2 linked regions of the Nothobranchius furzeri genome follow. The protein of the gene in region 2 purifies or fractionates together with the protein of the main gene of each other region. This does not show direct contact. Links are inferred from orthologs where the notes say so. Each region holds a gene or a part of one and is shown on either strand. Other genes may lie near its edges.

Region 1 (3,816 bases), on a different chromosome or scaffold from region 2:
CTAGATCAATTCAATTCAATTCAAATCAAATTCAAAAATACTTAATCAATCTCAGACCTGCTGTAGTAGCTCAGAATAAAAATAATAGTAAGTCATCAGAGAGTTGTATATTACAAAGATCAGCACATAGTGCGCCAGTAAAAAGTGTTTGAATCAGTAAAAAATAATGAATTGAGGAATTTAATGAATCGAACCATTCGATGATTTGTTTCAGCCCTACCCATCATACACACACAGGCCACACATACATACTGGTAAGCAAATGCAGGCGCACTGATACAACTAGGGTTGCAACAATGATATATTTTGGTGATACGATTGCAGTCTGAGAAATAGTCACATTATTTTACATGAATTGATTTCACATCTGTATTAACACATGTAAATCACACACACATTATTTAAATTATTGATAAAGGGCATGATTACATTGTATAAAGGTTTTGAACTCCTGAAATATTTATTGTTCCTTTTCAGAGGTTTTGCTTAGAAAAATTCACTCTACTACTGATTTGCAACGTTGATGTTTTACCTCCACAAATAAAAAGAAAGAAAACAAATCTTTTATGTAGCGCCTCTCAAGATAAAAATAACAAGCCTGGAGGAGTTTTGTTGTGTGGTGGAGTTGCTAATGGTTAGCTTCTACTAGCGGACACGATCTCTGCTGTTTGCTGGTCGCTAAACGAACAACAGCCTTTCCCGTCGTGAGTCAAGATGGTGAGTCCATGAATGATAGTGACAGTGTGACGTAGATCTGTCAGGATTTTCTAATCCTAGACTTTCACCGTCTGTTTTCTATCGGAAGCCAGTGTTTCCCCTACACAGGCTCAGGCGCCGCACCACGCCTAGAGATCCCCACACACAGACGCATGGAAGGGAAGCGTTCCGAGCGCATCGACTCTCCGCTGACAGCGACACGGTCCGCGAGCAATTGACATTGAGAAACACCCATGAATCCAAACAGTTTACAACGCTGATTCTGTCCACATAGCGGTTCCGACGTCTTTAACATATTCCTGTATCCTGCATCCTCTGAGATTTTAACGTCCCTTCTCCCAACTCTGCGACGCACGTTTGTTTACACGGTTTGTTTACACTGATCACGAGCCCCATTGTTTGAAAGGCACAGAGAGCTATCGGGATAAAACACCCACTGCTATTAGGTGGGTTCCTCTACAGACTGTTATGGTAGTCACACTAGAAGCTCTGCACCGACCCAACCAAGAAGCATAAACTCAGCTTTAGATAACAGTTGGTTCACTTTAGACCAAAACTGGATAAAAACTAAGAACCATCTTACCAAATGAGTTGTACCGTGACTCACCATGACCAGAATTGAAGACTAGCAATAAAAATGGACAGACCTCACAAAGCTAGTCATATGACAAAGTGGGATTCAACGAGTGTCGAGCAAAAGGCTCCATCAATGTTTGGTGTCCAGTCTGACCTTGAGCTTACCATCACAGTCCAACCAGCAGAGCGCCTCTTCCACAGAACTACAACACCTCTCAGTTAACAATGTGCCCTTCGACAAGCAAACATGTTCAGGTTCACAGATAAAACACACTCAGACCTCCGTTATTACGCTCCCCAGATAGATCACTCTGCCTCACCCTCCCACAAACCCAGGTTTTAACTAACCAACACATCAGACATGCCCAGCAAACACGCACGCACAACAGACTATGGCTTCATGCAAACGGTTCGCCTGTAAACTGTCATCTGCTGACTTGGATGGTATGACATCATCTGCCCCATCAGATGGTCCACCCAACAACTGTAGCTAAAAAGTTTTTAAAGTAAATTTAAATGAAAAAAGTCCCTTTTGTCAGAGATGACCCCATGAGTGTGCTGACATACAGAATGAGCTGGCTGCAGAGAGGTTGGTACTCACAGTGCATGTCCCGCTCATGCTCATACTCAATGAAAGCATAGCCGCGGGGCTTTGCCGTCTTCTTGTTGTAGACTATATAAATCTGGGAGACAGAAACATGAAGACATTGGTTAGCTCAACCATTCAGACCAACACCAAGAGCGGTGTCAGCCCGGTTCCCATAACAACACCATCCCACCTTTTATGTACGATTATGGTACTTACAGCTGAGGACATGAATGAATAAATACATTTTACTTAAGTGTCATGCACAACACGTGCCCAGTCCATAAAGGCTCATAAGACACTATTTACAAAAGAAGAAATGGACATACGCTTACAAAATCATTAGACACAACGGGATGAAGTACCTGTTGTCTAGGTTTTAACACTATATGTATTTATCAAAAAGCCAACTTCACATTTTGCCATTAAATGACCAAAATACATCAGGATTTTTACTCTGAATCTTTTCAAACGGACAATCGGAGACTATTGTTATACATCGGGACTATAAACAGGGAATGAAATTCATCTTCTAGAACATCTAAAATCACACAAACGCTGCTCCTCCTGTAACCCTTTGCATCGCCCCACTGCAATGGCGAGAGGCAGGACCCTCGTGCGCAACTGTGCACAAAGTGATTGTTGCCTATTTTTAGATTACAAGCAACATAAGGCTCTGTCATAAAATCACTTCTGAACTGAATATAAATTTTTAAGCACATCAAATTTCCACTGGTCTTTAAATTTAAACAAATGGTGGAGCTGTTGAAAGTTTGAGTTGTAAATGATTAAAAAATAAAAATGTACATTTATTAAAGGAAATTAGAGCAAAGATATCAGATTTGTCCCAGTTAGAAACCTTTCTGGTGAGGTCTGCCGTTTGACCAGACAGGGTTCCCACCCCATCACCCTCTAGGGCCACCTCAGTAATATACTTATGAACCCCTAATAAATATCTAATAGCTCTGTTCTGGACGAGGCTACATTCAGGTGCACCTGACAAATGACAGTACGTTTTCTATGAGGTGCAATCTTTCTTTAAAAAACCCTTTTTAATAAAACACTGGTAAATATCACTTATGGGACGCAACATCATATTAAAATCAGCCCACATTTTCACATGGGTGCATCCCTATGCAAATGCATTCTGCAGATCAGCCATGAACTCACTCGTTTGATGGGACCGTAGACTTCAAACTCACGACGAAGCTTGGACTCCGTAGTGTCATAGTTCTGGAGGAGAGACGGGGTTACACCCAGCATTAGCAGCGGTGACACACTCGTTCTAGAGTTAACACTAAGGACAGGTTTCATACTAACCACTCGGGCAACAAACAGCGTCTTGAACGCATCCCCTTGTGCATTTGGGTCATTATGGGGGTCCCCTGAAATCACACATACAACATAGCGTCAACATAAACCCTTGCACCACAGCACACATCTGATGTCCCACTCACAAAGCTTCAGTTCTGTCTCCAAAACCGTCTGGCGTCTCTCGATCTTTTCCCGCCTCTGAAAAACAGGACATAAAACTCTTGAGTCACAACAGGAAAACAAAAGGATGCGTGACATGATCCAGACCTGCCGCTGATGCGTTTTCTGAATGATGATCTGATGGGTGTCAAATATAGAAACGAGGGCTTCACCTAATTACATGTTTGAGTAGCGGCGCTGTGTTTAAGACAGAAAGGTGGGTCATCAGGCATTCTGCTGCACCGATGTTCACACAGAGCGTTAGGACCTGAGTGTTTTGTTTGTCATCGTAAACTCAGCTGAAAAGAGCAGAGCACCTAGCAGTGAGAAGCCTCACAGGTCGCTGGCTCCTGGGGGTAATGTTCACATTTCTGTGTTTGCACGTTGACAGAAGACATCTGAAAAAGCCCAGGTTAATGAACCTAAATAACTATTACCGTGTGTGTTTCAGTGACAGTTATATC
Region 2 (3,816 bases):
GTAATATCTTCAAATGAAAGCAGATTTTTTCAAATGTAGTAACGGATGACAGGAGGACTTGCTGCACCTAGGACGGAGCGGAGGTCGTGCACGAAGACGATGGCGTTGCTGGAGCCGGAGGCCAGCAGGGCGTGCAGCTCAGGGGCGGAGCTGTGGTCGGGGTGCCATCGTAGCGTGTTGATGATCTTGTGATGCTGCTGGATGCTGCACAGCAGCTTCAGGTGGGGGGGCTGGTACACATCGATGCTCCTGTGAGGGGAGGGCGAAGAGAAGCATGGTTATGAACACATGAGGATTTTAAATTAGCATCCTAAAACAAACCTCAGTTAAGCTCTGAATCAAAGTTGCATTTTAACCAGAAGCCGCTACTCTGGAATAAATCGGTTTTCCTGACACGTTCTTGGATTTTCTTCTATCCAACTCCAGAACCTCTCAGAGGTTTAAACTCAGACGATTTCATGCTGAGTAAGGATGAATATAAATGAGATCAAAGACACATAAAAACATTTTGACGCCTTTCGGTCTGATTTGGGCATTTAGACAACTCGGAAACCCGGAGGCCTTGCTGTGTAGCGATTTGGGTCGAGCCCCCGGAGGTCACTCACCCATCCTCGTTGCCAATAGCAACAGCCTTCCCATCTGGTTTCCAGCTGAGGTCTGTGTGTGGAGACAGTTTGTGCTGTTGGAGGTAAAAACATTTGGTCAGCACAGATCCAGCCTCGGCCAACACGACACCAGCAGGTTTTAGGTCTTCAGCCATCACCGGGTAACCCCAGGGCGGGCCGTGTGGCATTCGGACCCCACCCACCTGGATGCTGTTGGTGTCCCTGATCAGCTTATCGATGTCTGCCGCCGCTCTGCTCAGCTTGGATGGGTCGTGCTGCAGGATGACGCCTTCACCGGAGCAGCTGTACAAGCTGTAGCTCGCTTTTCCTTCTGCACCTGAACGCCACAAAAACAAATGTTTCTGAGGATGACTCAGCACAATAAAACGATGAGTCACTTTAGAAGCAGGTTTGCTGTAATCTGGGAGGGGCTAAGTCCTGTTTCAGGTTTAGCCGTTAGTTTCTTTTTATCCTGTCCCTCCGTAATCCCAACATCAGCAGCTTTAATCCCCACAGAACGGAGACAACGAGGCAACGCTGCAGATGAAGGAGGCATCAGCAGATCAGTGGTGCTGCAGCCATCAGGGCCCAGTGGCCCAGCTGATCCATGTGCTCATCACAGCTGATGGGAGGGGCGGGGCTCTTTCTATTACAAAGTTGACTACAAAAGGCCACATGGAGACGTTGGGATTTTCTGCTGACTCGTGGTTTCTCCAGGCGTCCCATGGTGCAGACTGTGCTGGGTCAGAAGATTCAGAGCAAACAGCAGCAGCTGCCAGGAGTTCAACAGGAACTCACCCAACGACATGGGGAGGACGGCGGGCCCCCAAGCCAGCGTGTACACGGTTTTCCTGTGGTAGGAGCTCGATATCTGAGGAGGCCTGGGGGAGAGCAAGCAGAGCAAAGGAGCCGTCAGAGCTGCAGAAAAACCTACGAGCTGAGTTTCAGGATTAAGAGGTAACGATGAAATAAAGTTCATGAAAGTTTAATTTAAGGAGTTTTATTTAAAACGATGAATAAACTGAATCAGAACATCCTGGAGCCGATTAGGAATGTCATCTGGAAAACCGATGACACCAGAGGTAGTTCCACCGAGGATCTCACTTGTTAGAGAAAACGTCGTAGATCCCAACTTTTCCATCATCAGTCCCAAAGGACAGCCAGCCTTCTTTCCTCGGATGCCACGCCAGCTGCAAGAGACGGGAAACGGATTTATAACCAACCTGAGGAATTTACAGGAATGTTTCCAGGAACGGAACCCGCCGCACCGCCGTGACTTTGGACTTGATCCCCTGCCAGAAGGACCTGATGTCGTACTGGTTCTGAGAGCTCAGCGTGTTCCACACCCGGATCATGTTGTCGCCCACGCCGAGCGCCAGGCAGGCCACGCCCACAGGAGAGAAGGTCAGGGTGTAGACGTGACCCCCCAGGGTGGGGAGGGTCCAGCAGCAGCCTAAAGACTCCAGGTCCCAGCATTTAATCTGGACCGGATCAAGAAACAGTTGGTTCTGATTTGATTCTCTCTCTCCCACTCACTCACACTCACACACACACACACACACACACACACACACACACACACACGCACACACACACACACGCACGCACGCACGCACGCACGCACGCACGCACGCACGCACGCACGCACACGCATGCACACACACACACACACACACACACACAGTGACCCACGTCTCTGTCCATGGAGGTGCTGATGAGCAGCTCTTTGCCGTCCTGCAGTTGGACAGAACTCATGTTGAAGACGATCCGGTTGTGGTTCTGACCCTCAGACGACGATCCGAACAAACTCCACCTCTGTTTTCCTGTACTGGCTAAATCCCACATCACCAACTCCCCACTGGACTCACAAACACACACAGAAACCAGCTGGAGTTAGACACGAAAGGAAATTCTGGGATGGTTCTGGTTTTGATAACATGAGAAGTTGCCCTCCGGGTCATCCGGACCGCCTGACCTGAAGCAGCTGGATATGAGTTGTGTGGGTCTGCCCTTCGGCCAGAGGACGTTGAGCCAGATCCTCTCTTTGACTCCCGGGTCGACAGCAGAACCTCTCCTCTTCAGGAACGGCAGCTTCAGCGTCATCACGCCTGAGACGGCAGAAGAGTCAGCCTCTGTGATTTTAACCTGCTGCCACTAAAATCAAATCCAGCACCTTTTCCCTTCGCTGTGCTCCAGATCCGGACCGTCTGATCTTTGCTCCCAGAAGCCAGGAAGCATCCCGTCTCGCCTTCTGTTGGAACTCCATCAGCTCCTGCAGCAGACCCACACATGAAACCCGAGATCCACGTAAAACGTGCACTTTAGTTTTGACAGAAGGGACATCAGCGTTACCGTCTCCATCCTCAGCTCTGCTGCCGAAGGCATCCTCTCCAGTCACAGGACACCAGGCCACAGAGTGGATCTCGTTGTCGTGTCCACGGAGACGTTGCATCACTTCGCCTTTCTTACTCACATCGATCAACACGATCATTCCATCTTTATACCTACAAAAGTGTTTCATCGTTACCGTTCACCTCTGAAACACTGGGGAGCAGAATGTGTGTGTGTCTAACACATGGAGTCCCTTTGACCCATGTGCTGCTCTGTTCTGGTCCTACCCGACAGCCACAGACTTCCAGCTGTGAGGAGAACAGCTCAGGCAGAAGATGGTTCTGGGTTCTGGGAAGAAGCTGGCCGTATCTCCGGTGTGGAACCAGTGGCAGACCACCACACCCTTCTCGTCGCCCGAGACCACCAGATTTTTATCCGCAGGGGACCAGTGCACCGCTGAGACGGGATTCTGAGGGGACAAAATAACTGATCACTTCCTGTTTGTTGTTTTTAATGGTCAATCATTATCAGCTGACAGGGTTTCCCCACCAGGCTAAGCCCCGCCCCCTCCCCGGCCCTACCTTCTCCACTGTCACGGACGATGAACGGCGAGACAAACTACGCACCCCTCCTCCGCTGATGCTGAACGGTGGTGTGACCCCCACACACACACTCTCACGGATGAGGAATGGTAGTGCAACCCCAGCCCCCACCCCCGCCACGCTTATGAACTTTTCTGGGGGAAACCCTGAGCTGATAAATCCACAAACATGTTTAGTTTATCTGCTGTGATGCCCGTGTCCATGGCTTCATGAGCTGATCCAGCAGCCAGCAGGAGGAACCGATACACTTTATAAATCACTCATCTGTGTGGGGGGGC

What was found.
Region 1: the proteins of gemin5 (region 2) and snrnp70 purify together in Homo sapiens (affinity purification with mass spectrometry; 4 studies listed by BioGRID and IntAct, counting the BioPlex papers as one, with this or other methods). This does not show direct contact. The link is inferred for Nothobranchius furzeri from reciprocal best matches to the Homo sapiens genes GEMIN5 and SNRNP70.

What each region holds. Positions count from the first base shown.
Region 1 is NC_091758.1:13,870,641-13,874,456, reverse strand, and holds part of snrnp70 (U1 small nuclear ribonucleoprotein 70 kDa), read right to left. Parts: intron 3,392-3,816; coding exon 3,337-3,391; intron 3,265-3,336; coding exon 3,200-3,264; intron 3,113-3,199; coding exon 3,050-3,112; intron 1,977-3,049; coding exon 1,895-1,976; intron 1-1,894. UniProt on the Homo sapiens protein: Component of the spliceosomal U1 snRNP, which is essential for recognition of the pre-mRNA 5' splice-site and the subsequent assembly of the spliceosome. SNRNP70 binds to the loop I region of U1-snRNA.
Region 2 is NC_091750.1:72,358,487-72,362,302, reverse strand, and holds part of gemin5 (gem-associated protein 5), read right to left. Parts: intron 3,406-3,816; coding exon 3,224-3,405; intron 3,110-3,223; coding exon 2,958-3,109; intron 2,878-2,957; coding exon 2,779-2,877; intron 2,714-2,778; coding exon 2,581-2,713; intron 2,464-2,580; coding exon 2,298-2,463; intron 2,087-2,297; coding exon 1,874-2,086; intron 1,796-1,873; coding exon 1,710-1,795; intron 1,487-1,709; coding exon 1,404-1,486; intron 943-1,403; coding exon 809-942; intron 680-808; coding exon 606-679; intron 250-605; coding exon 68-249; intron 1-67. UniProt on the Homo sapiens protein: The SMN complex catalyzes the assembly of small nuclear ribonucleoproteins (snRNPs), the building blocks of the spliceosome, and thereby plays an important role in the splicing of cellular pre-mRNAs.